Rhinolophus ferrumequinum: one gene and its partners. The protein of the gene in region 3 purifies or fractionates together with the protein of the main gene of each other region. This does not show direct contact. Links are inferred from orthologs where the notes say so. Each region holds a gene or a part of one and is shown on either strand. Other genes may lie near its edges.

Region 1 (10,299 bases), on a different chromosome or scaffold from region 3:
TGCATTCAGGTCCACGCTAGACATGGCCGAGGTTTGGTCTGGACCATGCTTGACACCCCCCCCCCCTGCCACCCCAGGAGCAGAGCCAGGACAATGGCAGGGTGACCCCAGCAAGTTTCCTTTTACTAAGGTTAACCTCCCCCACTCCACCCCCCATACAAAACAAGGGAAACTTGTAATATTCTTAAGACTCGGCCTCAGACAGACAGTTTGCTGCAGGGCTGACGTTTGCATCATCTGGTATAAACCTCCAGTACTGATTTAAGTGGACCATGCTCTCCTCCGCACCCCGCTTGAAATCCCCAGAATAGGACTCAAGACACAGAGCAAAGAGATCTGCTGGGAAAGCTTCATGTCACAGACGAGGCAACTGAGGCCCCAGCATGCAAGGGACACTGCCAATTAGGGGCCAAGTGCACTGTCTCTGGGCTCTCCTGTCTTTACCCGGTTGTGTCACAGGCTTGCTTCCCAGAGCTATGCTTGGAATACTGCAAAGGGACCATTACGGCAAAATCAGTTGTCTGCAGGGAAATAGCACATTGTCTTTTGAGGCTCTGAGGCTTTAGTGCACTTGAGACATCTGAAATTTAAAACTACCTTCCTCCTGTATGTTTTTGGGAAAACGATGATGTCATGCTCTCCCTGGGTGGGCATAAATGACCATCACATTTAAAACTGATTTGTGAGAGATGCACATCACAACAGCGCACAGGTACGTCCACAATGCCATTAATTAAAGCCATCACACATTATAAAATATTGAACAAACAAATGTCGCAAAGCCTCAGAAATTGTGATCTTCAAATCCCTTGAAAGGTCTTAGAGAATAACAAAGAAATTAAGATTGTGGAGCTGCACTTTGGACATTTTCATTGAAGCCACACATGCAGACCACTGCTAGTTGCTGCTTTGATTAACTGTGGCACAGGAGTCAACACCTCAGATTTGAGCTAAGGAGTCTTGAGCAGGGGGAGGGGCCTTGGCAGGGGTGGGGGGAGGAAGGGGGTCCTGGAGAGGGGAGGGGGCAGGCAGAGGGCCGCCAAATGTACCCTTCTAATATGATTATGAACAACACACTTTCACGTTTTTTCCCCAAGCCCATTTGCAGAGGATCTTACCTTCGAGCCTCTGTTCCCCCAGCTCAAGCTGCTTGAAAAGATTCACATGCAAACATTTCTATATTTCACAACTCAGTCAACAGTTTTACCACATGTTGTCCACACACTTAAAATACACGCGAAGCATTTTTGAAAAAGTTTTATTTTAATTGCATTTCAAACATAAGACGGCAATCCACTCCCAAAGCACAACCCCTCTTTGTAAACCAAGCCCCTCCTACTGTACTAGGGTAAAAGTGTAAATGATTGGCTTACCTCGGGCTCTTCCCTAGGAAAAAAATTATTTCATGTTTTAAAAACATAGCCACGCCCACCCCCTCGGAACAAGCCTGGCGTGGTTTTTGGATCCAGACTTGCTTTACTGCAGGTTATGCGTTTTTTCCCCCTCATCCCTCCATCCCCCCCACCAGGTGAGCCGAATGTGTGCAGAATACCGAACTCGTGTGTGCAGCCCGGGACGCCCCAGATACCTGAGTGTCTGGTTTTTCAACCGTAAAGGCGGGAGAGTTTGGCGAACGAATGAGAAGTGAGGAAACGCTTAGCGCAACGGGAAAAAAGAGAGAAAGACATACAGAAAAAAAGGTTATGGAGGCCAGCGGGAAGCGGCCCCCTCTCCCCCCAGCCAGTTGCCCAACATATTACCCCGATGTCCCACCACCTTTTCTCCGCATTTTTCGCGCCGCCCGCTGCAGAGCGCCAGCTCACAGGAACCACCAGAGTATGCGAACACGGAAAGTTTTTGCCCGCGCCATGGCGCACAACACAAGACAGCCCATTCCCCAGTACAAGTACACAGTCGGCGGGTAATTTGGGGGTGCCAGGGATGGGAACTGGGAGACACTTGAGCATATCATGCACAGGCGGACACAATATGGACACCAACACACACCAACAAGCTGTCTGAGTCCAAGCAGCCGTGCCAGGCGAGGCGAGGCGGGGCGCACCTTCCCCACGACCCCAGCCCACCACGGCCCCAACAAGCCTAGCCTGGGGAGCCCCGAGGCCCCTCCCCGGTAGTTCCTGGCTCACCTGAAGCCCCCGCCTTCCTTGCCGGCCCCCACCCCAGGACTCGGGGTCGTCTTACGGTCGCTGGCGCTGGCTTGTCCAGCTGGAAACGACCCTCAGTGTTGTACGGCACCACTTTTCTCCCTGGAGGGCACATACTTCGGCCACCCAAGCCCACCCGAGCCCACCCCCCTCCCGGGGCAGAGTTAGGGCCCCTCACTGGAACTTTCTAGCAGGCTATTCCCGCCTTTGCCCAGACCCCCTCCTCCCGCCGCCAGGCCCGAGCCCCACCGGGCAGCCCTGCCACCCCCTCCCGGGTTCCCCGGCGGCCCTGCTGCCCGCGGGCAGAGTCCGCCGCATTACCTAGAAGCAGCAGGCGGTGCGTACACATGTAACCCATCTTTTCGTCCTGTAGTTGCTTGTCGATGAGCTTGCTGCGTTTCTTCTCTGCGCGCTTCTGAGCACGCTGCTCCAGGGCTTCCTTGCGGATCTGTCTGCGCTTCTCCGCCAGAGGAATCTTCTTGACCTTGGGGCTGCGTGGGGCTTTGGGCTCGGCGCTCTCAGATCGGCCGAAGCAGCCCCCGAAGGCTTGCATGAGGAAGTTGCGGAGCAAGTTGCGCCGGGGCTTTCGGCGGCGGCGATTTCTCCGGGGCTGCACGCAGCGATGGCATCCGAAGGTCCCATCGTCGGATTCATCGCTGCTGCGGTCGTCGCTGCTGACCGACCCCTCGTCGTCGTCGCGGCCGCGGCTGCGCTCAGACCTGCCCCGCCAGGCATACGCGCGAGGAGGCTGCGGAGTAGGCGGATCGGCAGCCTGGATCTCGGGGCTGGGGGGTCTAAGGAAACGGAGCTTGGGGCGGGCTCCGGAGGCAGGGGCCGCAGGGGCTGCCCGGGCAGCAGGAGCGGCTGGGGCGGCAGGGGCTGCCCCGGTGGCTGGCGCGTCAGAGGCGGCTGGAGCGGCTGGGGCTGTCCCGGCGGTTGGAGCGGCTGGGGCTGTCCCGGCGTCTGGCGCGTCAGGGGCGGCTGGAGCGGCCCCGGTGGCAGCAGAGGCAGGGGCGGCTGGAGCGTCCCCAGTGGCAGGAGCTCCGTCGCCCGGAGAGGGGACTTGGCCTCCGTCCGCAGCAGCAGCGGTTGAGCTTCCTTCCATCTCGGCTGCTTCTCCCTCAACTGGGGGTCTCTCTCCCTCTGCTCGCTCTCTCTTAACTGGGGCTCGGGAGACCTCGATGGGCGGGCCATCAAGCGCGATTGGGGGGCTGTCCATGTTGACGGGAGCGTCGTCGACCCCAACGGGGGCGCTACCAATCTCGAGCGGGGGTCCGGGGATCTCCATCGGGGGGCTGTCGCCAGCGAAGTGCGGAGGAGGTCTGACAGCTTCTCGGGATGGGCTGCCGATGGCGATGGCGCCTGGGACCCAGAGGGGGGGCTCGCTCGTGGCGGGAGCGAGGAGGACCGCACTCGGCACCGCAACTCCCGTGAACTGGCTGCTGCTACCGCCGTCGATTTGTAGGATAGCTCGGGGGAGCCCAGGGGGTGGGCTGTCGTCCCCAAAGGCTGCTCCATCAAACTCAAATGGCATAGCCTCCTCAGGGGGAGGGCTGCAGCCTCCTCTGAAGCCTGCATTCGCAGGCCTGAGGGCTTGGGGCTCCTCAGAAGGGGTGCTGTGGACCCCCACACCTGGGCCTCCTGGAGCGAGGTCTGAGACCTGCAGGAGAGGTTGGCAGCAATCTCCCTGGGCAGGTTGCTCAAACTCAAAGGGCATGGCTTCTTCGGGTGGAGGGCTGTAGCTTCCCAGGCCTGGCCTGGCCTCACAGAAGGCTCTGGGCTCCACGAGCGCTGAGTTGAAAGCCTCGAGGCCTGCATGGGCCCCACTGGTGTCTCCAGGCTGCTCCAGGGTAGGCCAGAAGCTTCCCAAGCTGGGCTGCTTGACCTCGAAGGGCATGGCTTCCTCAGGAGGTGGGCTGTAGCCTCCATGGGCTCCGGCTTCCTCGATGGCCTGGCCGAGGCCTTGGAGGTTGGGCCTGGAGACCTCTGGGGGTCCACATGCCTCGCCTTCAATCTCGATGGGGACGGGCTCGCTGTTAGGCGGTTGGGTCTCCATCTCTTCGGCTGCGCTAGGCCCAGCACTGGGGGCAGCTGCCCCTGGGGCCTCCAAAGATGGTTGCTCGGACTGCTCCCCGAGTTCAAGGGGGATATCGCGTTGTCCTGACATATTATTGCCGTCGAGGCAGTTGCACACGCCCATAACACGGTGGCGAACTCTTAAAATAAACTTGGGGCCCCGTAAGACGGAGCACCCAACCGAACTAGGGTGAAAAAAATATCTTAAAAAAAAATCAAAGTACCAGCCAGAAAGTTCTCCAACCTCACTTTCCAACCCTCCTGAGGTCTAGGGGTTCAGGGCCTCAAACCTTAGACTGTGGCAGAAGCAACTCTATTGTTGCTGGTGGAGTGTTGGCTTCTTCTTGGCCACTTTTTATCCCCTCAGGCAGCCCCTGGCCCCCCCTTGGCCTGCCCTTGTCCCCTCCTCTCTCTCTTTCTCTCTCTGTGTTCCAGGCCAGCCCCGCCTGCTTGGATCTGAGGAGCGTGTCGATTCGGTCCGAAAATCGCTCGTAGTGCTCTCTTTCTGCCACCAGGGGACGCCGGCTGGTGGCCAGGCGGCTCTGGGAGCCGGTTCCTGGCGCCGGGAGCCCCGGACTTTGGGTAAGGGGGCTGTTGAGCTCAGGCCCCGCTGGGACGTTTTGGCTCTTTCCACTGCTCTCCCTGACTGATTTGGAGTCTTTCTCCTCTCTTCTCCCCTGGCCAGAGAGAGAGCCTTCTCCTGCGTTGCGGGACACGTGACGCAAGACGTGGGCCCCGGGCTGCTTGAGCGCAGGAGCTGAAACCCTCCCTCCCAGACCCAACTGACTCTCCTTGGGGGAGGGGGAATTGCATGATGTTTTCCTCACCCCAAGTTACCCCTGAACACCTGAGCCGCAGCCCCCAGCCTTGGGCAGCCTTCGATCCTGAGCCCCAAATCCAGAGCGCAAAGCTTTGGGCGCATGGGAAAGGGGTGTCAGCATGCACGAGGATGCGACAGGTGGTCGTGAGCCCACTTTCAGAGAGGACAGGAGGCGAGGGGCGAGGTGATGCCGTGTGCGCACACAATTGGTGTTCTAAATGCCTTAGTGTACTTTCCATCGCTTCTGCAGCTTTTGTTTTCCGGCTTGCCGAGGTTGGCTCCTGTAAAGCACTTCAATGTCCCCCGTACCCACCATGCTCTGGGGGGAGGAGGGGGGGTCTTCGCAGGAGCTTTGAATGGCGCAGGCTGGATTCTCCCGATTTACGTGGACGATGATTCAGGGAAATAGAGGGTCTCGGGCGCATACCACGGAGACCCTCTAATTGGTAGCCACCGCGGCACATAACGGGGGGGGGGGGGCGCGGGATGCGCATGGGGACCCCACAGAGTGCAGGCCTCAGAGTTCCGGGGCTCCTACTGCTCTGGGGCAGGGTTAAAGGAGATTTCAGTTGGGGTTAATGGCTGATTTAGAGTGGTCTCAGAGACTGGTCAACCATTTGCGCACTGAACCCAAAGACACATCGTGCCCTGCTGTGCCGTGCTGTGCCAGCAACCGCGGCCGCGGTGCGCTGTTTCCTGCCTCGGGCGCCGGCTGCAGGGTCGATCAGTTTGTTCCTTCCGTTAGCTCCTCTCTAGCCCCCTCCCAGCCCCTCTTCTCTCGCTATGAGTCTCCCGAGGCAGCCGCTTTACTTTCCAACTGCTGTAGCCCGCCGAGGTGGCACTAAGCTCTGCTAAAAACCCAGCGGCCGCCCTGCTGCGCTCCCGTCTCCGTAGCGCGTGGTGGGCTCAGAGCTAGTGGGGGTAAATACCCACACTACCTGGGTGGGCTTGACGCGTGCGCGCGCACTGCTCTGGCTCTGGGGTCTGCAGTAGGATTTGAGCCCAGGAAAATTTTGCTGCTTGCGGATCACGTAAAACCCGGGACATGGGTATCAGGTCTGTCTCGCCAGCAGGTGACACAGACCTGAGAGCCACCTTTAGGCGCGAGGCAGCTGGGCAGGGGCAGGTGGACACCTGGCTTACGGGCGGGCAGCCCGGCGGATGAGTGTACCAGTGGATGGGCTGCGGCAAGCGAGGCACACCGCCTGGATCGCTGTATCTACGAGCCGCAGGCGGGTGAACCACGCATGATCCAATCTCATTAAGTGTAACACGTCTCTTTCAGAACGAGACCACATCCACAGCGCAGCACTGCCCCCGCGTCTGCCAACCGTGTTGCCGCGCTGCACAGAGAAAAACTGACAAAGTTGGACCCTGGGTAACGTTTGAGGTCCCTCAAAGGTGTATCACCTCAGCTCTTTGGACCTACACACTTCCAAATGCCAACACTGAACTTTAGTTCAAACTTTGGCCAACTATACCCACGCGTAACGGCTCAACCATTTGGGCATCCACTGAATGGGCCAACTGGGTCTCCTCAGTCAATTCACTCCCCTCCGACCCCAGCACTGGGTCAGCCATTGGGTTGGGGTCACGCCAATCAATGCTGCCTGGCGAATGAGCAGGGGGCGTCGGACCGGAAACCGGATATGAGTGGGAGGTCCAATAGGGGGCGCCGCGTTAGAACGTCCTAAGAGATTGTGCTGCTGGGGTAGTTGGAAGCGGTCGGTGGGCCGGCGTATGGCGGCCAAGCGTGGGACGCCACGAGGCCGGCTGGCGCCGGGCGGTCACTCTTCCTGACTCCAAAACTCACAAATGCTGGAAAGATAATTGAGGGTTCTTAGGGGCCAACCCAGGGTCTCACTGATGGCGGTGGGCAAACACACCCAATACCCGGGACCGCCGCCGGGGCAAGGAGGCTTTCCAGGGCCTGGAGATAGAGGGCCAGGACCCTGAAGAAAGAGGGGGCTTACTGCTCCGAGGCAGACGAGCAGCCCCAGATGGATAAGGAGTTGAGGCCCCAGGGATGCTGAGCTCTGCCGAAGTGGAAGGTCAGTAGACGTTGGGGTTGGAGCCCCAGGGAGGCCGTGATGGGGGCCCCAAAGGGACGGTTTGCTCTCGCCAGGCCTCGCGCTTGGCCCACTTCACTGGGGCTCTTTCCCAAAGCACTGTTGTTCAATGAACGGGTACCGGGTCTCTGACATCCCCGTAGGCCTGTGGGACCCCTTTGTCCAACACACACTTTCTGGTATCTTGGTTCTTTGCCAGGAGAGCACATGCATTGAGGGGAGTTAAGACTGGGCAGATAGATACCAACCCTCCATTCTAAAGGGTAAGCAACATAGAATGAAAGACCTCCAGTTGGGGGGATCTTGAAAGTCTTGATGGAGAAAGTGGCATTTCAAATGTGCCTCCATGGAGGGACAGAAGGTTTGGCTATGAATAGAACGTGGCGGGGATAGGAGATGTTGGCTGACCATGAACGAAGATGCTAGGAAACAGAGCTGGGTAAAGAGAATAGGACACTGTGTCAGGTCTTGGAGGACCAGTGGGAGAGAAGTCATGAAAAATTGGATAGGATCTCTCCAAGAATACTATGGCATATCAGAACAACAAGTTTTGAGGCTATTTATGTTGGAAATGGAGGTGTTGATGGTTTTTCAACACCTGCAGGTGAGAATTTGAGGCTAGTTTTAGGAGAGGTTAAGGCAGTATGGAGGATGGTCCTGATGAGAAAAAAAGGGGCTGTGGCTGGTCATAACCTTTAAGGGAGGGAGAACCACACATAGTAAAGGAAGCAGGAAGGCCGAAGAGAGGGGCTCGAGGGATCCTAAAGGACCCTCTAGCAACTTCTGTGCTAAAATGGCACAAAAAGTGGAGGAGACAGAATTTGGCACCTGGGTGATGGGACACGTGTGGGAGGATCTGGGGAGGAGTTGGCATGGTGGCGGAGCCATTTGGTTTTAGACATGGCAGAGGTGAAGGAAGGATGGGCAGTCTGGATGGAGAGCTTTACAGCCTGTTACTTAGGATGGGTCTGAAGTTCAGAAGAAAGATGACAACCCCAAGATCAAAGTGACGGTCATCCTCATTAAGATGAAATCGTTGGATGAGAAACACCCTCAAGGGGAGAAACAGATTTGGTGACAGAATCTTGAACACTTGGGGGTACTAGAGAGGACATCACAGAAGAGAGCAGTGGGGCTAGGAAGAGACCCATAGGCTCAGACCAGAGGGAAGAATTTAAGAATCGGTCAGCAGATCTCGTCTTAAAGGAGCTTCCTTAGCCTCTGCACTGCTGACCTTGGGGACAGGTGATGCTTTAGTGTGACTGCCTGTGCACTGTAGGATGCTTAGCAGCATCCCTAGCTTCTACCCACTAGATGCCAGTAGCATCCCCTTAGTTGTAGCAACCAAAAATGTCGCTAGACTTTGCCATATGTCCTCTGGGGGGCAAAATCGCCCCCCAGTTGAAACCACTGCTATAGTCTGAGGAAGGACCCTGTAGACTTGAGTAGGAATCACCTTAATTTAAAGGTAAATTAGGACCAGAAGAAAAAATTCCAGTACTTAACTCTGATGGTCCTTTTGTCTGCTTCTGTTTATTTTTTCTGCAGTGACTGGCCCCCCAGAATCTGAGAACCCCAAATCTCTTGGGTGAGTGAAACTCCACCGCAGATCAGCAGTGCGACTTTAGAGACCCCCTGAGCATGGCCAGATGTTTGAGGAGCTGATTAACCAGAAAGGCAGCTGGGTGGCCTGGCCACGGGACTCAAGGAATCTGGCATGGTAAGAGCTGGGGTTGATCAGCTGGTGGGCTGCTGGGGCCACTCTGATTGGGGGGCCTGCCTGGGGAGCCCGCTCAGGGCTGGTGATCTTGTTGGCCTAAGACAGATGGACTTGGCTGGGGATGAGTGGCTGTGGGCAGCCTAGGCCGGGTCTAACCCCGCTAGGGACATAGTTTCTAGGATCTGCCGTTGTAGTTTTATAGTAGCCAAGTACGTTAAGCACCGATTTCCAATTCTGGGTGGTTTTCTATCAGGGAAAGAGGTAAATATTTGATAGGAATGAGAAGGAACAAGCAAGGAAAGTCAGTTAATGGGTTCACGCAGTTCAGGAAGAGGATGGCAAGAGAGGCTAGTCAGGTGTCTGCCAGAAGGCTGAGCTGGGGTGAAGGTCAGAGGCTGCGTGACAGCATCTGGACCCTGTCCCTACAGGGAGTGTGAGAGTGAAGGGCTACCGTGAGATGCTGTGGGCATGAGAGGAGGAAAGGATTGGCTGTCAGAATCCAGGTGAGGGTTTGCTCATTTCCAGCTACTGAAAAAGAAGCAGTTTTCTACACTTGATGAATTAAGAATGCAATGGGAAACGCTACCATGTCTCAGTTCAACTCTGCCTGTCTGAAAGGCAGCCTGTTCAGACCAAATGGCCCAGCTGCCACAGGCAGCAGATCAGCTGGCTTTCTGTAAATAGGGAACCCCAAATGGAAAGAAGGGATTCCTTCACTGCTGACTGAACAGCGGCGCCACTGCCACCTGCAGAGATGTGGCCTCCTTCCTTGGTGGCCCCACGTGGCGCCCTGGGCTTCCCAGTAATGGACGCCTCCACGCCAGCACACTAATCAGCAAACAATTATTAGTATACTTACATTTGGGAATTCTGACTGCCAGATGCACAAGGCACATCTAGATTTTCAGGAGCTGCCTGTCAAACTTCTTTCTTATTATAGTTCAGCCCTGTATCCAAGAAAGACAAAGTAGAGGAGGGTCCTTTGAGAGGGAGGGGAGACCGGTAAGAGGGGAAGGAGCAGAAACCAGGAAAAATGAGGTTTTTGGGGTGGTGGCATTACCTCCTAGCTGTGGCGTTGCGGGGGGGGATTTGCAGAAAAGCCTTTTCTGCAGCCCACTCGTGCCATTAGTTGTCAGTGGGTGAAATGAGGAAAAGGAGAATCTTTTCACCAGTTATGAGGAAAAGGCAAAAGGAGAGAACATAGGAGACTTCAGACAACTATTACGTTTCCCAGCCTCCCGGAGACAAATGTTTTCTGAGTGCTGACTGAGTAGCAATAAGACTTTGAAGCTGTGCAATTAATTACTGTTCAGCTCAGACTCGCTGCGCCCATCCGTTTGCCTTCCAGCATCTCCTCTGCCAGCCTCGGCCGGTGGAGGCAGCAGCAGCATACTGCTGCCTGCAGAAGGGTCTGCGTGACCAGGCTGTTTCAGACGAATGCCCCTGAAG
Region 2 (10,413 bases), on a different chromosome or scaffold from region 3:
TGATATGTTGTGGCTTGGGATCGCTTCTTCGCCTTTTGGCTAAGATCAAGTGTTTGTGGCTTGGTGTACATAGAATGAATGATGAATTCATGGATGGTGGATTTAGGTCTTGATAGTTATTGCCAAATCATCTACTAATAAGTTTTCTATTAGCTTGTATTCCCTTTTAGAGTAACATCACGTTTTAAAGTCCTCTCATGTGTCTGTGTATTGATTGTATGACACTCCACGTTTTACCTCAGAGGTAGGGGAGAGGAGTAGTTTACATAAGCATGTGCTGTTGGACCTGGAAGTGCCCACTCTTTGCGGTCACAACAACGCTGTGGTGGGTGTCTGTGCCTCAGGCCTCGTCTGAGACTGCCCCTCCCTGCAGACATCTGCATGTCCCTGAGAGCGAGCTCTTGCCTGTTGTCAGCCTGTTAATACTAAAGCTATTTCTTTTCATAGTAGCCTGTTGTGTTCTGAATTTTACTCATTTTTCCAAATGCCTCTTGCACTTGAACAGTTTTCCTGCCAGAACACCTCTTGGCTTCATGAGTTTTCTCAGCTTATGAATGACAGTAGAAATGGTGTTCCTCTATTAGTTCTGACTTAGGACGCTTTAGTGGCTGACCGCTATATACCAGACACAGGTCTCGGTCCTGGGGTTTTACAGATCTGCCTAAGGCTAAGTATCTTACAGAACAATCCAGAGGGCAATCTGACATATACATACGAATAAGTGATGTGAGGAGCCGATAATGATAATTGCCTTTGTTTATGAAATACGGCACCCTAAACACTTTTCATGTATTGCCTTACTTGATATCCTCACTTCACTCCTATAAGGTTGATTCTGTTATTTCTCCCATTTTACAGATGAGGAAACTAGAGCCTAAGGAAGTTAAGTAATTTGTCCCAAATCTCACAGCCAGGGAGGGTGGAGCTGGCAGTCTGGAAGGTGAGAACGCGACGTAGCTGTAGGACTCTGGGCTTCCTGGAGGTGGTGGCACTGAGCTTATCCTGACAGATGAGGCGATAGTGTCTTCATCCAAGAACAGAACCCCTTGAGCCACCTTAAAGGGAAAAGGTGGGTAGGGGATAAAGAGGTGTCTCTGGGAACCAATGGGCAGGAAATAATCCAGCCTTCAGGGACTGGAATGAAGAACCAGAAAAGGCTGTCAGGAGCCAGGGCAGCTTTCTCTATGTCTGGAGCCATGGCCTCTAGTTGGCTGCTCTCTGCATACCTCCTTCCCCCTTCTCACCTTCTACCTCAGACTCCTTGCCCCAGCCTTTCACTCAGGAGACTAACGGGCTTGGTCAGATTTCCCATGTTCAGATTCCAAATGCCTGGAAGAGAGAAGCTCGCCCAGCGTGGGTCAGGCAAGTGCCTGCCACTGGTCGGTTCAGCTGTGACCTGGGGTGTAAGGTGACACGACCTGCTCAGGACACTGACTGACGGCTGACACCTCCACTGTGGGGCTGAGGGGCGTCTGTCTGAGGAGTGGCCGGCGAAGGCCCTCTGCCTGGGGAGAAGGCAGTTGATTGCGGAGGACCTCCGCGTGTTGAGGCGGCCTCATTCACGGCTTCGCAGTGGGCAGCTTGCCTTGCGTTGCCAGAGCGGGAGGGACGCGGAAGGTGTTTGAGTGGATGAGGAGTGGTTCGAGTTGCGCTAGAGGAAGATGAATGTGGCGGCAGTGTATGAAATGGGTCGGAGTGAGGAGATGAGGAAGGAAGTGGTCAGAGGGAAGGGCCTTTCCTTCCCGGGACGTCCTGGACGTTTCCGTGGGGGGCTGAGGACTGGCTCATAACCTGTCCGTGGTCTGGCACCTCGAGACCCTCTTGGCCCGCACTCTCCCAGGCTGCGATTTTCCTATTTTCAGTCCACTCTCCTTCAACCCGGCCCTTCCTCGCCCTGCTGATGGCGGAGGCAGGTGAGGAACCCCGCCGAATGGCAGCATCCACCTTGTCAGGCTTGCAGTGGGGGCTGCCTTTTAGCTACAGGTGTTCCGAATACCGTGCCGTGCTGAGCGGTATCTGTTTGGGGTCTCTTCCACTTCTCGCTTCCTCCTGAAACAGATGTCGATGCCCACCGTGTCGTGCCGAGGAGACATGGAGAGCGTCCGCCGCTGCCTGGCTCACAGCCTCTTCATGAGCAGCGCGGAGCTGCAGCTGGACGGCACCTACGCCACCACCGACACCCACCAGCCGGTGGCCATCCACCCCTCGTCCGTCCTCTTCCACTGTAAGCCCGCCTGCGTGGTGTACACGGAGCTGCTGCGCACCAACAAGTGCTACATGCGGGACCTCTGCGTGGTGGACGCCCAGTGGCTGTGTGACGCCGCCCCCGAGTACTTCCGCCGGAAGCTGAGAACCGCCAGAAACTGAGCCGCCGAGCCGCTGGCGGCGCTGCTGGGGCCTGGAGCTGGGACCTGGAGCTGGGACCGCAGCCGTCCTGTCCTCGCCCCTGGCTTCCAGCGTGGCGCCTGGGGAAGCGGCTGGTTCTAATGCAGCGGGCCGTGCCCGGCTCCAGGAGCTTGCAAGCATCTTTGTTTAACCTCTTAGGACGGAACCGTGTAGACATCTACCTACCATTTATACCTTTGAGATGTCGGAATTATGCTTTCGGTTCTTGCTGGGCGATGTAGTTAACTTCTGAGCCTCAGTTTCCTCATCTGCCACGTGGGGGTAATAATACTACTTGTAAGGTTGGTGTCATGAGGTTTAGAGAAAATGAAAGTATCCCTTTCATTTCACATCAGCGCTGTGCCTGGCGCGCAGTGAACGTGCATGAGGTATTATTCCTTTTTACATAATGTGAATGGAGTACAACAGAATCCCGAGTTCTCGTCACTAAGGGGGACTTTCTGGGAGGGGACCATAGGCGGTCACAGAGCTCTGATGTTGTCCTTCGATCTATTTTAATGTCTAGCTGTATGAAGTTTTTAAATAGAAAACATCGGAGATTGGCATCTGCAGAAATTTCAGGAGGGAGGGGCTGTTGCCTCTTACCTGTGGGCTGGCCGCCGCTGTTGAGCCTCCTGCCCAGTGTGTGGACTCCTGCCTCCAAGCAGAGAACAACAGTACAGGAGAGCTCGCAGGTTCCTGAGCGGTGCCCCCTTGCCCGTGGTGCCTCTGTGGCACATGTCCCCATCCGTGCTTTCAGGACCCGTGGAAGTTTCCCAGGTGAGGGTTGCTTTGTATTTTTTAAATCGTGATGGCTTCCAGCATAGCCAGTTGCCATTTTCTCTGTCACTGGGTCCATGTAAATATGTGAGCATAAGGAATGGCTCCGTGCTATACTTCAACTATTTCTTTCCTGTCAGAGCCCCTGCTCAGCTATTGGGGTGGGTGGAGGGGAGAGACGAAGGGTCAGTGAGAACCCAGACAGCATTAGCGCAGCTCGTCCCATCCACCTCATCTGGTGTTTATATTCTTAGATCTTATTTATTTTCTATGATCTCTTTTTCTTCTTTGGGACTTGGGGACAACTTGCCTTTGCTACTTCCTAACCGTGCCAGTCACTCCTCTCTAACCCTGTTTCTACTTTTCTCAGAGGGAATTAGGTCTTCACAGTCTTTCTGTTCTCATTTTGAGAAAGGAAAAGACACTAAAGGTTCTTCTTGGCTGTTTAATTATCGAAAGCAAATGATTTTTCCCCTGATAATGTTTTGCCCTAGAAGAATCCAAGACTTAGCCCTTTTATTGTGCTTAATTGGTCTAAACACATGTGTGCAGTATTTTGGTCATTACTTAAAGTGAACCATGCAGTTTATAGGCAGGGGGCTAAACTGAGAGACTCTTCAGCGACAATGGATGGTCTCTTCACTCTGGATCCATTGAACTCTTCTCCAAGACCATAGCCTGCTGGAGCTCATTTTGGGTCTCATCTGTTCATGCTTGTGTATGTTAAGCCTGGCTCAGGCTTTCGAGCAGTAGCCGTGGCCCTGAGAAGTCAAGCTTTCATCTAGTGTTCAGGGCTGTATGGGCACTTGTGATTTAATTATATTAGGAACAGTTACGTTTAGGCTAAAGAGGATTCCACAGATCCTATATACCCTGTCTTATTGAATGCTTAGACTTAGCTGGCTCTTCCTCAGATTGACTTGTTTTTACTGTTGCAAAAGGTTTTTAAAGTGTGTTTTTCTCATTTATTTAATAGAGGCCTAGGATGTTTAGCCTGACTGGGTAAAAGAAAATATTTTTAATAAAACATTCATCATGCTGGTAAAAAATAGGGAGTGGGCTGATTTATCATGTTCCTCAGCCAATTCTCTATGGAGAGGTGTTCTCTGGGGCAAATAAAACTTAGAATAATTTGTGTCCAACTTAAGTACCTAAAGAGTTTCTGGAAATATAAATTCTTTTCTGAGCAGGAATAGGGATAAATACCTTCTAAATAAATGTAAATAGCTTCTAAGTAGCTTTAATGTTTCTGTACAGAAATATGTTTATCATTGTAACATTCTGGTAGAGTTTTAATACAGTAGTTTTTTATTGGGCTTTTTAAAAAGTTAATTTTTAACATAGCTGCTCAGGGATTAAATCAGATTAGAAAACCCATTCTGACTCCACAAATTACAACAAAGAAATAAATGGTTATTTATATTGAGCTGCAGGGGACAGCACATTTTAAACTTAAACTTTCTTAAGAAAGTTAAATGTTTCACAGTAATGTTGCAATATCATCTTGAGCTACTTTTTCCATTCGTCAAATTTACGATGGTGTGACACCTCTTCTAAACTGTGAAACCCATATCTGCGCGAATCACTAGCTCTCACAAGCATCTTCAAGCAACTGGCATGCCTCAGCTGTCTTCTAGTAACGATGGAGCCTGGAACATCCAGGGCACTGAGAACAGACTTCATTATGGGAAAGAACTGCCAACAGCCGGTCCTTGTTAAGAACCCTTACTTAACGTTGCATTTCTGCTGGTTGTAAAACGATGCCAGAATGGAGACAAGTTTTTGCTCTGTGGGTAAAACTTTTTATGTACCATGATACATACATTTAATCCAGCTATCAAGAACTGCTTGGAACCGTGGCCAGGCATCTTGAGCATGTAAAGGAACACTGCATCTGTGGGGGAGCAAGGATTTGATTATATTTGATCAAAATATTATAACCTGCAGAAAAAGAAACCAGAAAAATCAAATTGATTCTGGTTTGTGTTGTATTTTGAGAATCTGGTCTTGTTCAAATAGACACAGCTCTATAAAAACATCAGTTCTTGTATATAATGCTCAAATTTGCACATGATTTACATCCATTAAAAGTGAATCTTGTACATGGTGTGTATGGCTTCTATCTTGAGTCTTCTTTCACTTTACAGAATGCTGTTTAGAATATATTGTTCATCTTAACTTTGCCACTAATTGGGGAAGACTCACTTTTTTGGTACCTTATATATCCTGTGTGTCCTGTTAAAGTAGGAACATCGGTTCTTAACCTAAATCTGACGTAAGCCATGGCTTCTTGCACCCCCCAAAATAATGTCCCATCAGAATCTGAGAGCAAGGTTAAGGTTGGAGGGTATGGAGAGGGAAGGTGGCAGGAATTAACCAGGGATCCTGCCCTTCGGGTACTCCTAGTCCGGTGGGGGTGAGGGGAGGCTGCCAGGTAAACCAGCAGTGCCAGGAGGTTTCTCCTGAGAAAAGACTGAAGGGTAGCGGCGGGGCATGCGCCGGCGTGAGTTCCTATCACGGAAGAGAGGAGGAGGTTACAGGAAGGCATCTTAAAGGAGATGACCTTGAAGGCTAGTCTTTGTAAGCTGTTGGAGGTGGCAAGAGTGCGTTCTGCGAAGTCACAGCCTGGCGTGCTTTCAGACCAGTAGATGGAAATTTGGAAAGTGTAAGCAGCTGCTGGAGACAAGTGATGCTGGCGAATCAAACAGAAAGCTGCACACCAGACTCAGGCCTGCTGATCAGATAAAAAGTTAGCTACCGGATTTGAGGCCTCCCCCGGACGCTGCTCAGGAACGCGCCGCCCCCCGCCCCCAAGCAGAGGGGGCAGTCCTACCCACCGCGTTTGACCCGCAAAGCGACGCTGCGGAAGCGTTTCCTGGTCGAGGGCGGGACTTCCGGCGGTGAGCTCGGTCCGGTTACGCCTTGGCCCGAGTCGTCCTCAGCCGCACGTGTCCGCTGCAGCTTTCGCGATGCTTCCTCTGCTGCGCTGCGTGCCCCGAGCCTTGGGCTCCGCCGTCGCCGGCCTCCGCGCCGCCGCGCCCTTCCCGCCGCTCAGGCCGCTGCTGCAGCCCGCGCCCCGGCCGTGCGCCCGGCCCTTTGGGTTCCTCAGCGTGCGCTCGGGATCTGCGCGACTGCCCAGCCTCCTGCGGCCTCGCAGACCCTGCTCCTGCGGCTGCGGCGCGCTGCACACGGAAGGTGAGTTCGCGCACGTGGGCCGGGGCCGTGAGGGGTAGATTTCCTGAATGGGGTGGGGGTCCGGGAAGTGTAGACCACGAGTGGGCCGCCCAGAGCGGCCCCGCGAGGTCCGAAACGTTTTCCCAGTGTTGGGCAACCAGAGGATGAAACCCACGTGTGATCACATTTCCCCTTTTTCCTGTCCGCTAAGTGTTTCATTTTAGGGTGAGATGTACAATTAAATCCTGGAAACCGACTTTAAACTTAGTCTCAAAAATGGAATTTAAGGAAGGCCCAAGGTTGTGGTTGAAAGTAACGTGGTTATGACTTGGCGAGTGGGAGAAGGTAATTGGGAACTCGTGCTTTGTGTGAAACGTGGTAATGATAATGAGTTCGTTGTTGCAAATCACTTTTCCAGAATATAGCTCGGCTTCCCACTGACAGTATTACAGCATTTTTACAGAGAAGGACACTGAGGCTTAGTGGATGTGAGTTGGACTAAGTTCCCAGAGAATGATTATTAACAGTCCAAGTCCAGATTTCTGGCTAGAGTAACCCGGGTCATTTGTACGTTTTAAACTGATGGGCTTTTCTTTTTCTGTATTTTAATGGATTTTCGTTGTAGGAGACAAAGCTTTTGTTGAATTCCTGAGTGATGAAATTAAGGAGGAAAAGAAGATACAGAAGCATAAGTCTCTCCCCAAGATGTCTGGAGGTTGGGAGCTGGAAGTGAATGGGACAGAAGCCAAATTAGTGCGGAATGTTGCTGGAGAAAAGTAAGTATGGTGGGCTCCAGGGGCCTAAACCCATGTCCCTGCCCCAGGTCATCCCCAGAACAGCTTGAGTTAAGGCAGGTACTTTGATACATAGTTTCCAAGAGACAGAAGGATTCATTTGGATAATTTCCTAAGTTCCTGGTAGTTCATTCATTGCACACAAATTTCCTGTGGGCTGGTTACTAAGGAGACAGTAAGGAGGTAGCACAAAAGCATGTAGCGGTGCCCAGCAGAAACAGCTCATTCAGTAAACCCCTACTGGTGGCGGAGGCCATGCCCTGCCTCTAGGCATGCACATTCAGAAATTCCTATCGTAATGACAGCATCAGTTAGATCGCAGGTTTACAGTGCTTGATTCACTACACTACAGGCTCTGAGTAAAACAAGGCCCCTGCTTCCTGATGTTTACAGTAAATGAAAATGCAAGACATGCAACTCATATGGAACAGGATGAGATTCCAGTGTAGTAAATGGTTGTCATTAGAAGGGTGGGGAGCTTTTGACCTAGCTTAGCTCTTTTTATGATCCGTTTCGAGTGGATGTCTAGATATGTTTCTGAAGTAGGGTTCTGGCTTTTTTTTTTTTTTTTTGGCGTAGTGGCATATTGTGTTTTTCCCCACATATACAAGTAGGTCAATTCTGTAATTTTCACCTAAACCGTTTTCCTAGGGTGAGTCATGGCCAGTTTGGGGGCATTATAAATTATGTTCTAAGACGGGTGTCAAAACTGCGGCCCATCGGTCAACTGTGGTCCACAATCCATTGTTAATTGGCCCGCAGGACATTCCAAAAAGTATATTTAGTTTACTTAAATAAACCAAGTGAGGCAATACGTACTTCACCTCGAGTAAGTGGCCCGGCTGTTTGTTTGTGTATTTTACCGAATATGGCCCTTGGTGAAAAACATTAAAAAAAGTTTGGACACCCCTGTTCTAGGAGCTCAACTTGGTCATCACATTGCAGATCAGACAGATTTTGTGGCTGAACCTCAGACCGTCATTGTTCTTATGGGAAAGCGGCTTCCTAGCAAGGCAGCTGGTTGGCACAGCTCCCGAGGCCACACGTTTACAGTGTGCTGTTGTGTGCACATAATGCCTGCTGGAGTTGGGCAGCCCAGCAGTGTTTCAAATCTCACATCACTTCTAATTTTGACTCAAACTTTGGAACGTGATTTGTTAGGTGGATTCTTGTACCTTGAAATTGTTCATTAATTGGTGTTTCTGGCCTGCTTTGTGGTTATAAAACTTCCCACAAGTACTCTGAAGAAGGACTGTACTGCAGCTTATTGTTCTTTGTGAGGCTTCCCCTTCCTGGGGCCAGGGCTGCTCTTGGTCCTTAGCTGATGCAACCCTCCAGTGCTCCTTCCTTTCCTCCAAGGGGCAGATTTTCTGATGGAGAAAAAAAAAGCTTTTTAAAAGAGACATCTATTCCATCCCACCCGCTTCTCAGCTGCTCATTGCCGCTGGAAGATGCCCTGGAAGGACAACAGTGAGCAATGTCAGCTGGCTGTGGCCATGAGACCACCAGTGGATACAAGATGGCAGTGAGCCCTGGGATGCTGGCCTGATCACACATGCTCGTTTTAGCTGAGATAAACTGGGGCCTGTTAGTTTGACTTCCAGCAGATGGCACATAGTAGGCACACTTGAGACCTGCTGAATCCATCTTAGGTAAGATGTAGGCACCCAGGCTTTTCTGGAAGGTCTGTAAATAATTCACATGTAAAGACAGCTAGGTTAGAGACTTTGTTTCAATACATATTTTTAACTAGCAGGTTTCCATACTTATTTAACTACTCAGTTAAAACTACCCTGTCCAGACGGGGGAACTGGTTGAGGAGCTGGGTGAAAACGGTGAAGGGATTAAGAAGCAGTACAAATTGGCAGTTACAAAATAGTCATAGGGACGTAAGTACAGCATAGCATATATATAGCCAATATTGTAATAACGATGTATGGTGCCAGGTGGTTCCTAGACTTATAGGGGAACACTTCATAAATTATATACATGTCTAACCATGCTGTACACCTGAAACTAGTATTGAATGTCAACTGTAACTGAAAAAAAAGAGAACTATATTCTTTCTGATGTGTTTTCTTTTGCCTTTCTAGGATCACTGTCACTTTCAACATTAACAATAGTATCCCACCCACATATGATGGGGAGGAACAGCCATCCCAAGGGCAGAAGGTTGAAGAACAGGAGGTAAGCTTGTAACCCTATAACCAGCCTTTACCTCAGAATTCTGATAGGCTGTTCCCGGGGCTTAGAGGAGCAGTGTTTTTGTTTAATTTCTCTAATGCTAGAGAAATTAAGAGAGGAGAATGCAAAGGATAACCATCCTTGGGACTTTTACTTGCAGAGCAGCAGTTTCCTTTGGCCCCAGGGATAATGTATGGCCCCTTTTCTTTCCCAGGGACTGAGTAAATTACCATCTGCAAGCTTCGGATTTATAGTTTGGCCTGTGTTCTCCAAATGGAAAGGAATGGAAACGGTTTTAACCCTTCCACAATGGGAAGGTGTTTGATAATCAGAGATTATCATTTGGAGTGTTGCCAAGTGAGGGATGTTCTAACACATCACAGGCTGGTAATAAAAACACCAGCCACTTAACCAAAGTAGCAAAGCCAGGGGCATCAGATTTAATTTAACACCAGAGATTTTGGCAACGTCTTTGCTTATGTTGCTGGCCCTGTTGGTTGGACCTGGATGGTGACCAGACTTCAAACATTTTAGGAAGCGGTGTGTCTAGCCTAGAAACCAGCTGGTATGAGGGCCACAGGGTCTCCAGACTTTCTGACTAAGCAGGCATCTGTATTGTCTCATGAACTAGCACAGATCCCTGCTGTGTTGCTGTCTCAGCTACCCTAACTAGGATCTCTTTGACATTGGATGGCTCACCATCAAAGGGCGAGTGACTGTGATTATTCATACATAGGACTGCCAGTTAGCCAGGTGCACCGGCCTTTGGTCCTGGGCCATAGGAAGATCCTGAAATAGTCAGTTGGAAAGAGATCTTAGAGCTTTAGGCCAGCTTCGCAGTTTATGGAGAAAAAGGCCCAGGAAGAATAAGGAACGATCAAGACCTCAGTTAATTGGCACATAGCTGGGGCTGGAATTCAGATCTCTTAATTCTAAACCTAGTATATTATTTAGGGTGCTAATAGAGGTGACTGTTCTAAATATAGGGTACTCTGCCCTCTAAAACATAGTCTTTAGAAGATCAATAGGAAGAATTCATCCCAGTCTCCTGAATAAGCCAGTATGTGGCTTTAATACCCCATGTTAAATAAAGATT
Region 3 (10,108 bases):
GCAGCTGATGAAATACAATTGAGATTCCCTTTGACCTTGATGATGGAAACATTCTCCTTTGAGAGGCCCAAAGATTGTGATGTTGGACTTGAGGAGAAGGAAGTGTATTCCTGGCTCACAAATTGGCTGGGCTTTGAAAAATATTTACATAGTCATGATAATATATATGCTGTTTATTGGTTTTCAGATTTTAGAATCAACCCGAGGACAAAGCAAGGAAGACCTGGTTGTGGCTACAGCAAAGAAAGTAAATGTTAACAATCTGGACAATGTAAAGAAAAGATGAAACTGACAAATGTTGGTCATTGAATGAGCAGGGGGAGGGTAGTGGCCAGATATCCTTGTCCTAAAAAGTGAGCAGTTGAAGTTATCTGTCAAAAATGGATGGAATAAAGAATGGAGGTCTGAGTATATTTTTTTCAAGTTACAAAATTAGCCAAGAACAAAAAAGAAATATCAATGTTGAACACAGCAGGAGAGTAAAGGGAAAAGTAAGGTGGTGTACATAAACAAAAATCTCATTGACATACTGGGGAGTCAATAGGATATAGTCTAAATTTTATAAACCAAGAAACAGAGCATATACATGTTATTTAGAGTTGTGAAGAGAACAACCAGCACAACTAAAACCAAAAACTGTTAAAAGGTTGCTTTGAGGGAGTGGGAGGGAGAAGCAGAGGGTCAAGGCAGGGGACTGCTGGTTTTTATCATAGGCTTTTCTACCCTGTTTGATTTGTTGCCATGTACATGCATTACTTTAATAAAGATAAAATTCTAAAAAATTACGTTTATCTCACAACAACAAAATAATTATATATCTTATGACACTTTATGACAGTATCAAAATGGGTGTCTGAATATCCAGTTAGACTTGCCTGCACAGAATAAATTCATACTGTAATGCGTCTTATATATGTTTATGAAGAGGGTTGGAAAGGATATCCTGGGACTGAAAACATTAGAGGTAGTAAAGCATAGTGGTGAAGGCTCTGTTATATGGCATCACACTGACCAGGGTTCAAGTCCTCTCTCTGCCATTCACTAGTAGCTTTGCTATGGGCAAGTTACCTCCCTTACCCCCAATTCTGTCCTCTGTAAAATGAGGCTAATGTTCATACAGTAGGAATGTAAGCCCCTCAAGAGCAAGGACCACCTTTGTAGAGGTGCCCGATACATAGTTGGTGTTCAATGTCCATTGAGTGGCCTGAACCTGCCTCATACGTGCGTGCTGAAGTAGAACTCAATGTCCAAACAGCAGGGTAGAAGGAGTATTAGTCCAAAAATGGGTAGCCAGTCTCCTGATCTATGGGAAACTTGCCTTTGGTTTAACACAATGTAGTCATTTTTGTCGTGGAAAGATAGCGCTCAGGGCTTAGAGTGATACAAAATGAATTAAGTTGTCCTGCACACAGAAGGAAGAAAAAAAATGAGATTCTACCAGCAGCTCAAAGAGAGGACAGAGGATCCTAGAAATGGAAAGGAAGGGGGATTGAACCCTCTGTATGTTGGGGAGCAGAAAGGGCCCAACAGTGATGGAGAATGGGGCCCAGGAGAAGGGATGGTTAGTAGGCCTTTCCCAATGGTAGGAATGGCTGAGGAAATGTGAGCCACAGGAAAGTCTGATGTCCCACTTTAAGTCGATTGCTATGCGGTACTGTATGATTTAGATGATGAAAGAAGTGGTAGGTAACCTTGGAAGGAAACCTTTGTCATCTGTTCCCAGCCTCACCTCTTTTCCAAAATTCAGAGATATTGATTTTGTATAGTTTAGGGGTGATGAGGATATTCTGGGCTTCCCATTTAAGCTTCAGGGGTCTGAAATCTTGAGTGCCCCAGTATTAGGCAGTTTCACCCCCTGACACCCCGCACTCAGCAATCTTCAGCCTGTCTTTCCTTATCTGTTGAACAGAGCTGCCTGGTGATAACTCAGCTTTTCATCTCTTCCCTTAGTGGATATGTAGGATCTACATGACCTCAGGTATTTGCCTGCTGATATATGGATACTGAAAACCAGTCTGGGACTCAGTGACTTAGGTTCTTCAGAGTTTATGAGTAGATGCTGAAGACCAAAGGATTCTTCTTCCCACCCAGGAGAAGGTGGGAAGAAATCTCTCTGGTCAAACGGTGAAGATTGTGAACGAATTTGTCTTTTTTCTCCTGATAAGGTTTCTTCCTGTCCTGTGATGCCGAGGTCATACGATAAAGATGGTTATCGTCTTGTGTTATGAAGGTGGTGGCATTGAGAGGGGACTAGAGAAGATAGGCTTTGAAAATCTTTGGGAATGTCTCTCTAATGGACTTGGACTGAGATTTTGCCCGAGTTCCTTGAATCCAGTATTTCCTAATGTTCTGACTCTGTATTCCTTTAAAGTTACCCCAGGGTCCCAAAGGTCACAACCAGGACTTAAACGGTTGTGGAATTTAAAATGTTGGAGGTTGAAACAGAGGTTAGATGTAACAGAGGATGTTCCATGTGGAAGAAATCATATGAGCAAAGGCTCCTAAGCAAGAGAAGGCAGGGCACATCTGATAATAGTGAAGTTTTTTTTATTGATTAGAATATAGGCAGTGGTCAGAAAAATAGCAAGTGGTCAGAGGTAGATTTTGGGAGAGCCTTGAAATCAGGCTCAGGCATTTCTTGAAAGAGTAGTCTATACACATTGTCATGATACCTCACCTCACATCTCAACCTGCTGCAACCAGGAAACTATTGCATAGCATAGACTCCAAAATAACAGTGGCTTAAATAAGACATACATGTATTTACCTCATCTAAAAGAAATCCAGACGTAGGCAGTCCAAAGGTGGTAAGGTGGCACTATGAAATTGTTAGAGATCCAGTTTCTTTTTAGTTTACTGCTCCACTATTCTTAGGGTGTTACCCTTGTCCTTATGGCCTTTATTCCAGGAGGCTATGTGTCCCCCTAAAAATCAGATGTTCTATTACTAAGGAAGAAGAGGAGAATGGATATTGGGGTAAGCAATGAGCAATCTGCTACAAATCTCTGTACTGAAATTATTCCCTCCTAGGTCACCAGAGACCAGACTACCATCTGATTGTTACAATACCTAGATATTTTTTTCCAGGCCTTTTCTTGACCTATTGGTAGCATTCAACAATACTCACCCCTCCCTCCTTTTGAAACATTCTCTTCCCTTGGTTTTGTGACACTACATTCTCCTGCTTTTCTCCCTTCCTCACTGGTCACTATTTATCCATCTCTTTCATGGGCTCCTTTTCCTTCACCTATGCTGTAGTTGCTGCTGGTCACCAGGGCTCTTCCCTGGATGCCATCTCTTCTTTTTTTTTTTTTTAAATTTATTGGGGTGACAATTGTTAGTAAAATTACATAGATTTCAGGTGTACAATTCTGTGTTACATCATCTGTAAATCCCATTGTGTGTTCACCACCCAGAGTCAGTTCTCTTTCCATCACCATATATTTCATCCCCCTTACCCTCGTCTCCCACCCCCTACCCCCCTTACCTTCTGGTAACCACTAAAATATTGTCTGTGTCTATGAGTTCTTGTTTCTCATTTGTTTGTCTTGTTCTCTTGTTGTTTTTGGTTTATATACCACATATTAGTGAAATCATATGGTTCTCTGCTTTTTCTGTCTGACTTATTTCGCTTAGCATTATACTCTCAAGATCCATCCATGTTGTCACAAATGTATCCTATATCATCTTTTCTTACCGCTGAATAGTATTCCATTGTGTATATATACCACAACTTCTTTATCCATTCATCTATTGAAGGACATTTTGGTCGTTTCCATGTCTTGGCCACCGTAAACAAAGCTGCAATGAACATTGGAGCACACGTGTCTTTATGGATAAATGTTTTCAGATTTTTTGGGTAGATACCCAGGAGAGGGATTGCTGGGTCATAGGGTAATTCTATTCGTAATTTTTTCAGGAACCTCCACACTGCCTTCCATAACGGCTGGGGTGCCATCTCTTCTAAGGGTACACATTCTTCCCAGGTGCCCTTGCCCTTTCACATAGACTAAAACCATTCATATACTGGCGACTCCTAGATCTATAACCTCAGCCCAGACCTCTTTACCGAACTTCAGGCATATATAGTCAACTGCCTGTGAGACATTTCCACTTGAATGTCCCACAGATACCTCAACATCAATGGCCAGTTCCCCAACATTAGTATTCCATATATCAGTAAAAGGGGTTACCATCCACACATTTGATCTCTCAAATCAGATCCCCCAGAGTTTCCTTTGACATTTTCCTCACCCCTTTCTCCACATTCAATTATTCATAAAGTCTTGTTGCTTTTTATTTCTTTAGTATCTTCTGAATTCCATCACTTCTCACCACCCCCACTGCTACCACTCTAGGCCAAACCACAATTATTGCTTATCTGGATGACAACTCTCCATCTTTCCAGGGAGATATCTAATCCATACTACTTATGGATTAGGCAGCTAGGGTGCTCTTTCTAAAACACAAATTTATGTCGTATTCAAGCCTAGAACCTTTCAATACCTCTCAGTGTTCTCAGGATCAAGACCAAAGTCCTTATCTTGGCATTCAAGACTTGCCATGCTTTGGAAGGAATGGGAAATTTGGCGCACTAGAACTGGAAGAAAAGGAGGGACTGTGTCTACTGTGAAATAAAGCCATGCAGATTGGGAGAGAACCGAAGAGGTAAGAAAGTGGTGAGCTGGTATCACAAACTTGGAGGAAGCAACAATTAAGAGAAAGAGAGGAGTCAGGAGACTAGAAGCCCATCTTGAATATCTGGGAAGAGTTGTATGTATGTTGAATTATCCACAGAACATAGGGATTCATGTTATTTTATTTGCTTTGTAAAGGAAAAGGTGACCACATAAAGCAGACTCATGACCATTTGAGTTACTTTTGGATGTAGGAAAATTATTGAATATTATTTCTGCAACTGACCACTGTGCTAAATTTTATTATGGTTTCAAATAACTTTTTAGTTGATGCTCTTGGGTTGCATTCATATGTTCTGTAATTAATGATAATTTTGTCTACTTTTCATTATTTATACATCGTATTTTGTTCTCTTGAATAGACACAATTACTTATGTGGATTTATTATATGGTAAAGGTGCCATTTCAAATCAGTGGGGGGAAGATGGATTAATTTGCACATGGTGTAGGGATAAGAGACTATGATTTCGGAAAATAATTATGCTGAGTCCTTACGCAAAACAAATTTTGGAATGATCAAACATTTAAATGTAAATAATAAAGCCATAAAAGTGCTTGGAAAAAAACTGGAATTGTTATAATATAGGATTGTGGAAAGCATCTCTAAGCGTGAAGCAGAATCCAGTTGTGATAAAGCAAAACCTGATGATACATTTCACTACATAATAATTAAAACCTTTTGTACAGCAAAAGTTATCATAATTAACATAAAAAATGTTTGTCACATATGTGACACAAACATGTGAGAGACGTTGTTAGTGGGAATGTTATTCCATGTACCTTTTGACAGTAAGTTGACAAATTTTGTATCAAAATGGAAGACTTTTTTGTAGCATTTGAGTCAGCAAAGAATACCATCAATAACAACAACAACCCAAAACAGATTCTACAAGGATGTTCCTTGTAACATTGTTTGTAATAGTAAAAAAAAAAAAATAGTAAAAAAAAATTAATAATAAAATAAAATAATCTAAATGTCCATGTATCCTGCACTGGTGAAATAAATTATGGGACATCTATACAAGAAAAGATTATGCAGGTATCAAGAAAAATGTGCACTATGGAAAGCTGCTTAGAATATATGAGTGGAAAAATAACAGGTTACAGAACAGTAAGTATAGAGTACCATTTGTGGGCAGAAAACTCAAATAATAGGTATATGAATATAAAAAAAATCTGGAGGAATGTATATCAAAATGTTAATAGTGGTTATATCTGGGGGATGAGATAAGGGTGGTCTTTCATTGGTATGTTACATATTTCTGCATTATTTGAATTTTCACAACTACAACACATTATCTTTGTAATAAGAATAAAGATATGAAAATAAATAAATTGAATGAATGAATAGCTTTGAGGGTCTAGTTTTGGTTGGAAGGGCTTCAGACCGAGCCTGGTACAGTGGCATAAACACGGGCTTTGGCGTCAGACAGCCCGGAGCGGGGCCTCATTGCCCCACCCCCGAGGAAGGAGAAGGAGGGGTGGCAGGGGGCTGCGGAAAGGGGCTGGGCTGGGCTGGGCTGGCTGCAGCTTTAGTGCTGGAAGCTTTGACTTCGAGAGGGACTGAGAGGGGAGAGACGCATCCCAGACTCGCTCGTGGACAAGGTGAGGAACGCTGAGATTGGGGTTTCCTGGCAGTCAGACAGTGGTTCCAGCCCCCTCGAACCTGCAGCCAGGCAGGTGGGCAATTCTTACTGCACCACTGCATCTGGGGGTGGGGCGACCTGGCGTGGGATGTAGGCAATCAGGAGGACAGAGAGTAGTAGGCTGTACGGACCGGGAAGCAGAGACTAGTGGAAGAGAAGGGGGAGAAAAACGGGAAACCGGGGATGTTGGGTGGTGGATGGGGAATATAAGGGGGAAGGGGAATACTGAGGGGAAGTGGAAATCCAGAGAAGAAAATATGGGATGCAGAGAAGGGTTAAGGAATACTGGGGGAGGGGTGCATAGGTAACATGGAGGAGGATGCAAGGAGGGGGAACAGGGAATTCTTTGGGGGTAAATAGGAAATGCGATGGGGAAATAGGGAGCAGGAAGCAAGGCAGAGGGAATACGGAGGGGGGTATAAGGAATGAAGAAAAGGGAGCGGGGGAAGGGCAGACTGGCTGAGACGGAGGCCCCCTAGGGAGGCGGAAAGGGGCGGGACCACTTCCGGCCTGGAGAGGGGAGGGCAGTCTCCGAGTTTCGGAGGGGCTCGGAGAGAGTGGTCGCACTCGGGAATTGTAGGACGAGGTGAGCAGCAGCTGGGCCCAGTTCTGGATAAGAGCCCGGTAGGGCTCGGCCCCACCCTCTGGGATCTAGAGAAAACCTGCCCTAAGGACCGGATCTTACCGGATCCATCCGGCTGGGAAGGGTGGGGATTGGACCCAGTTTGGCTGGACCCAAGATGGAATCACTAACTCAGTACAGATTTGAGGAGGGGGTGTATTAGGGAAGGGGCAGAACCAAGATGCGCTTTGCCCCTGTTTGGAGGGGGGCGTGTTATGAAAAAGGGCGGGATCGGGTGGTACTGTGGAGTTGGGGTGGGTGTGAGTAGGGGAGGGGCCGCGACCACCAGACACTAACAATTTGAGAGGGAGGCTTGCTGGGGAGGGGGCGGGACCTAATGCTGCTGCGGACCTGAAGAGGGGCGTGTGCTGGCAAGAGGGTGCAGGACTAAGCCCGTGACTATTGCGCATGCGTACTATGGATCGCTAGAAAAGCGTGTAGTGAAGGGCCCGCTCTGAGACGGGCCAGCTGCCGAATGCGCATGTGCACGGTGGACATCAAAGAAAGGGCTTGTGCTGGGAAAGCGGGCGGGGCTGAGATGGGCCCTGCAGCGAACGCGCATGCGCACTGTCGATCTGCGGCCGGGTGGGGGGGTGCACTGGGAAAAGGGGCGGGGTCCTCAGAGCTGCCGCGCTGGCACATCTTCCTGGAGAAGGGGAGGGTGGGGCTGCAGAGAATTGAGACCTGGACGTTGTGGATTTCTACTGAATCTGAGAACGGAGTCTCTGGGGTGGGGATTAGAGCCCTAGGAAAGGTGAGGATCAGCCTCCAGGCAGAACAGGATATAGGACGTTCAGTGGGCTCTCCCCTTGACCCAGGACTTCTCTCCTTCAGACTCAGCTCTTGCCAGGCCAACTTGAGACATGTCTGACACAAGTGAGAGTGGTTCAGGTCCAACCCACTTTCAGGTAAGGCCTCCTTCTGCCCTCTCCCTACCTGCTTTTCCTCTCCAGCCCCTGTTGTCCTAAATCCTTTGGCAACCCCCTCCCGTCCTTGTCCTTCTCCACCCACTTCCTTGCCTGGGTGCCTTCCACCCCAGTAGAGGGAGGGAGGAAGGAACTAAAGAGGGAGGGAGGAGGACGGAGGGCCGGCAGGCCCACCCCTCTTCTGCCATCAGTTCCTGCTCAGAGGAAGGGGAAGCCTTGTTGGGCTGAGGTGGTCAGAGCATGCTGCAAGTAGGAGTTAGTATAGGTCAGAGAAGTGAAGGCCTGGAATTTTGGAGCCATTTGCCTAGTTGGGGATGGGGAGAAGTTCCGCAAGCTTCCCTGCTTTGTCTTGCAGACTGAAGCTTCAGAAAAAGACAGTGACTTGAAGATGCAAACCCTATTAACAGTGACCCAGAACTTGGAGGTCTCAGAGACACCGAAGGCTTCAAAGGCACCAGAGGTCTCAGAGGCTGTGAAGGTCTCAAATGCTGCAGGGGTCTCAAAGGCCGCAGAGGTCTCAAAGTCCCCAGAGGCTCAGGAGGCAGCTGCCACTCAGGTCTCATCTACTACTAAGCTGACAGATACCCAGGTTCTGGCAGCTGAAAAGAAGAGTCCAGCAGCTGACACCAAGATGCAGAATGCTGACCCTCAGGCTGTGACAATGCCTGCCACCAAGACCAAAAAGGTCAGCTGTGTGGCTGATACAAAGGTCAATACAAAGGCCCTGGAGACTGAGGCTGCTGCCTCTCAGGCTCCAGAAGATGAACCGGAGCCTGAGGGTGCAACTGCGCAGGCTCAGGAGAATCAGGATACTCGGCCCAAGGTCAAGGCCAAGAAAGCCCGAAAGGTAAGACCTTTGCAGTCACTGCCCTAGTCTTTCCATTCTTCTTTCAGTTGGTTTACTTGTTCTGCAAACATTTAGAAAGTTCCCCAAGGCTATGGGGGACACTAAAAGGAGTGTGATGCAATTTCTGTCTTCAGAGAGCTCTCGGATTGGTGGGGAGATGAGACAGGAATACACACAGCTGCGATCTGAATGTAACGCAATTTATTTTTACATAGTAGCTACCTTGTGTTAGGCTTTGAGCTAAGCACATTCACACAGGTTATCTCTTAAATTCTAAAAGTAATCCAGTTTTATAGAGAAGGAAGCTGAGTCCCAGAGAGGTAGAATGACTTATCCGTGGTGGTTCAAGCAGAGCAAGTAGTGGACATAGGAAGAGGAGACGCCTCAGACTCCACCCTTGGCCTGGTTGCTCCTGGCCTGGTTCACAGATGAAACTCCTGATTGGGTGCCAGTGAAAGACAAACGCAAGATTTAGCATGGCCAATGTCTAGTGAGTCAGGTTATTACAGGAGTGGGATTAGAGGGGGCTTTTGGAAGATATAGGATGAGGAAAAAGGACCATCTACTTCGTCTGGCAAAGTTGTGATCCTCTCTTTCGATGTAGGTGAAGCATCTGAATGGGGAAGAGGATGGCAGCAGTGATCAGAGTCAGGCTTCTGGAACCACAGGTGGCCGAAGGGTCTCAAAGGCCTTAATGGCCTCAATGGCCCGCAGGGCTTCAAGGGGCCCCATAGCCTTTTGGGCCCGCAGGGCATCACGGACTCGGTTGGCTGCTTGGGCCCGTAGAGCTTTGCTCTCCCTGAGGTCACCTAAGGCCCGTAGGGGCAAGGCTCGCCGCAGAGCTGCCAAGCTCCAGTCATCCCAAGAGCCCGAAGCATCACCACCTCGAGATGTGGCCCTTTTGCAAGGGAGGGTAAGAACCCTGTCCTCCCCACTATGCCTTATCCAATGCCTTGTTTGCCCTCTTCAGCATCCTTTCAAATCTTCTGCAAACATATTTTGATCTTTCCATCTTTTCCTCCTGTTTCAGGCAAATGATTTGGTGAAGTACTTGTTGGTTAAAGACCAGACGAAGATTCCTATCAAGCGCTCAGGTAGAGTCCTGTTAACCCTCCCTCCCCCTAGCTCTGCCCTCCATCACCCTCTTCCCCGCATGCTGGGAGCATTCGTTGCTCTCGTGCTCCTACCTCTGTTCTCCCAAAGTTCTAATTTGGCAGTGCTAGCATCTCTTCATTAGGTTAGCACCTGTTTATGTCACCGACAACAGGGTTGGCAAAGGGTCTATAGTTTGGGTATGGGGGTCACCTGGTTTCATTTCAGCCCAGGTGCTCGCAATACTCTCCCCTTGCAGACATGCTGAAGGACATCA

Evidence for each region.
Region 1: the proteins of melanoma-associated antigen D2 (region 3) and GNAS purify together in Homo sapiens (affinity purification with mass spectrometry; 3 studies listed by BioGRID, counting the BioPlex papers as one, with this or other methods). This does not show direct contact. The link is inferred for Rhinolophus ferrumequinum from reciprocal best matches to the Homo sapiens genes MAGED2 and GNAS.
Region 2: the proteins of melanoma-associated antigen D2 (region 3) and C1QBP purify together in Homo sapiens (affinity purification with mass spectrometry; 3 studies listed by BioGRID and IntAct, counting the BioPlex papers as one, with this or other methods). This does not show direct contact. The link is inferred for Rhinolophus ferrumequinum from reciprocal best matches to the Homo sapiens genes MAGED2 and C1QBP.

Annotation. Positions count from the first base shown.
Region 1 is NC_046306.1:3,449,630-3,459,928, forward strand, and holds the start of GNAS (guanine nucleotide-binding protein G(s) subunit alpha isoforms XLas), read right to left. Parts: upstream 4,366-10,299; coding exon 2,487-4,365; intron 2,268-2,486; coding exon 2,148-2,267; intron 1-2,147. UniProt on the Homo sapiens protein: Guanine nucleotide-binding proteins (G proteins) function as transducers in numerous signaling pathways controlled by G protein-coupled receptors (GPCRs).
Region 2 is NC_046304.1:12,970,194-12,980,606, reverse strand, and holds the start of C1QBP (complement component 1 Q subcomponent-binding protein, mitochondrial), read left to right. Parts: upstream 1-6,048; 5' UTR 6,049-6,134; coding exon 6,135-6,360; intron 6,361-6,964; coding exon 6,965-7,115; intron 7,116-7,688; exon of another isoform or gene 7,689-8,290; coding exon of another isoform or gene 8,291-8,503; intron 8,504-9,226; coding exon 9,227-9,320; intron 9,321-10,413. Other genes in the region: ATP-dependent RNA helicase DHX33, read left to right, coding at 2,059-2,367; RPAIN (RPA-interacting protein), read right to left, coding at 8,291-8,503.
Region 3 is NC_046284.1:81,176,078-81,186,185, reverse strand, and holds the start of melanoma-associated antigen D2, read left to right. Parts: upstream 1-6,189; 5' UTR 6,190-6,303; exon of another isoform or gene 6,304-6,378; intron 6,379-6,851; exon of another isoform or gene 6,852-6,930; intron 6,931-7,587; exon of another isoform or gene 7,588-7,720; intron 7,721-7,800; 5' UTR 7,801-7,829; coding exon 7,830-7,874; intron 7,875-8,247; coding exon 8,248-8,739; intron 8,740-9,343; coding exon 9,344-9,652; intron 9,653-9,769; coding exon 9,770-9,833; intron 9,834-10,090; coding exon 10,091-10,108. UniProt on the Homo sapiens protein: Regulates the expression, localization to the plasma membrane and function of the sodium chloride cotransporters SLC12A1 and SLC12A3, two key components of salt reabsorption in the distal renal tubule.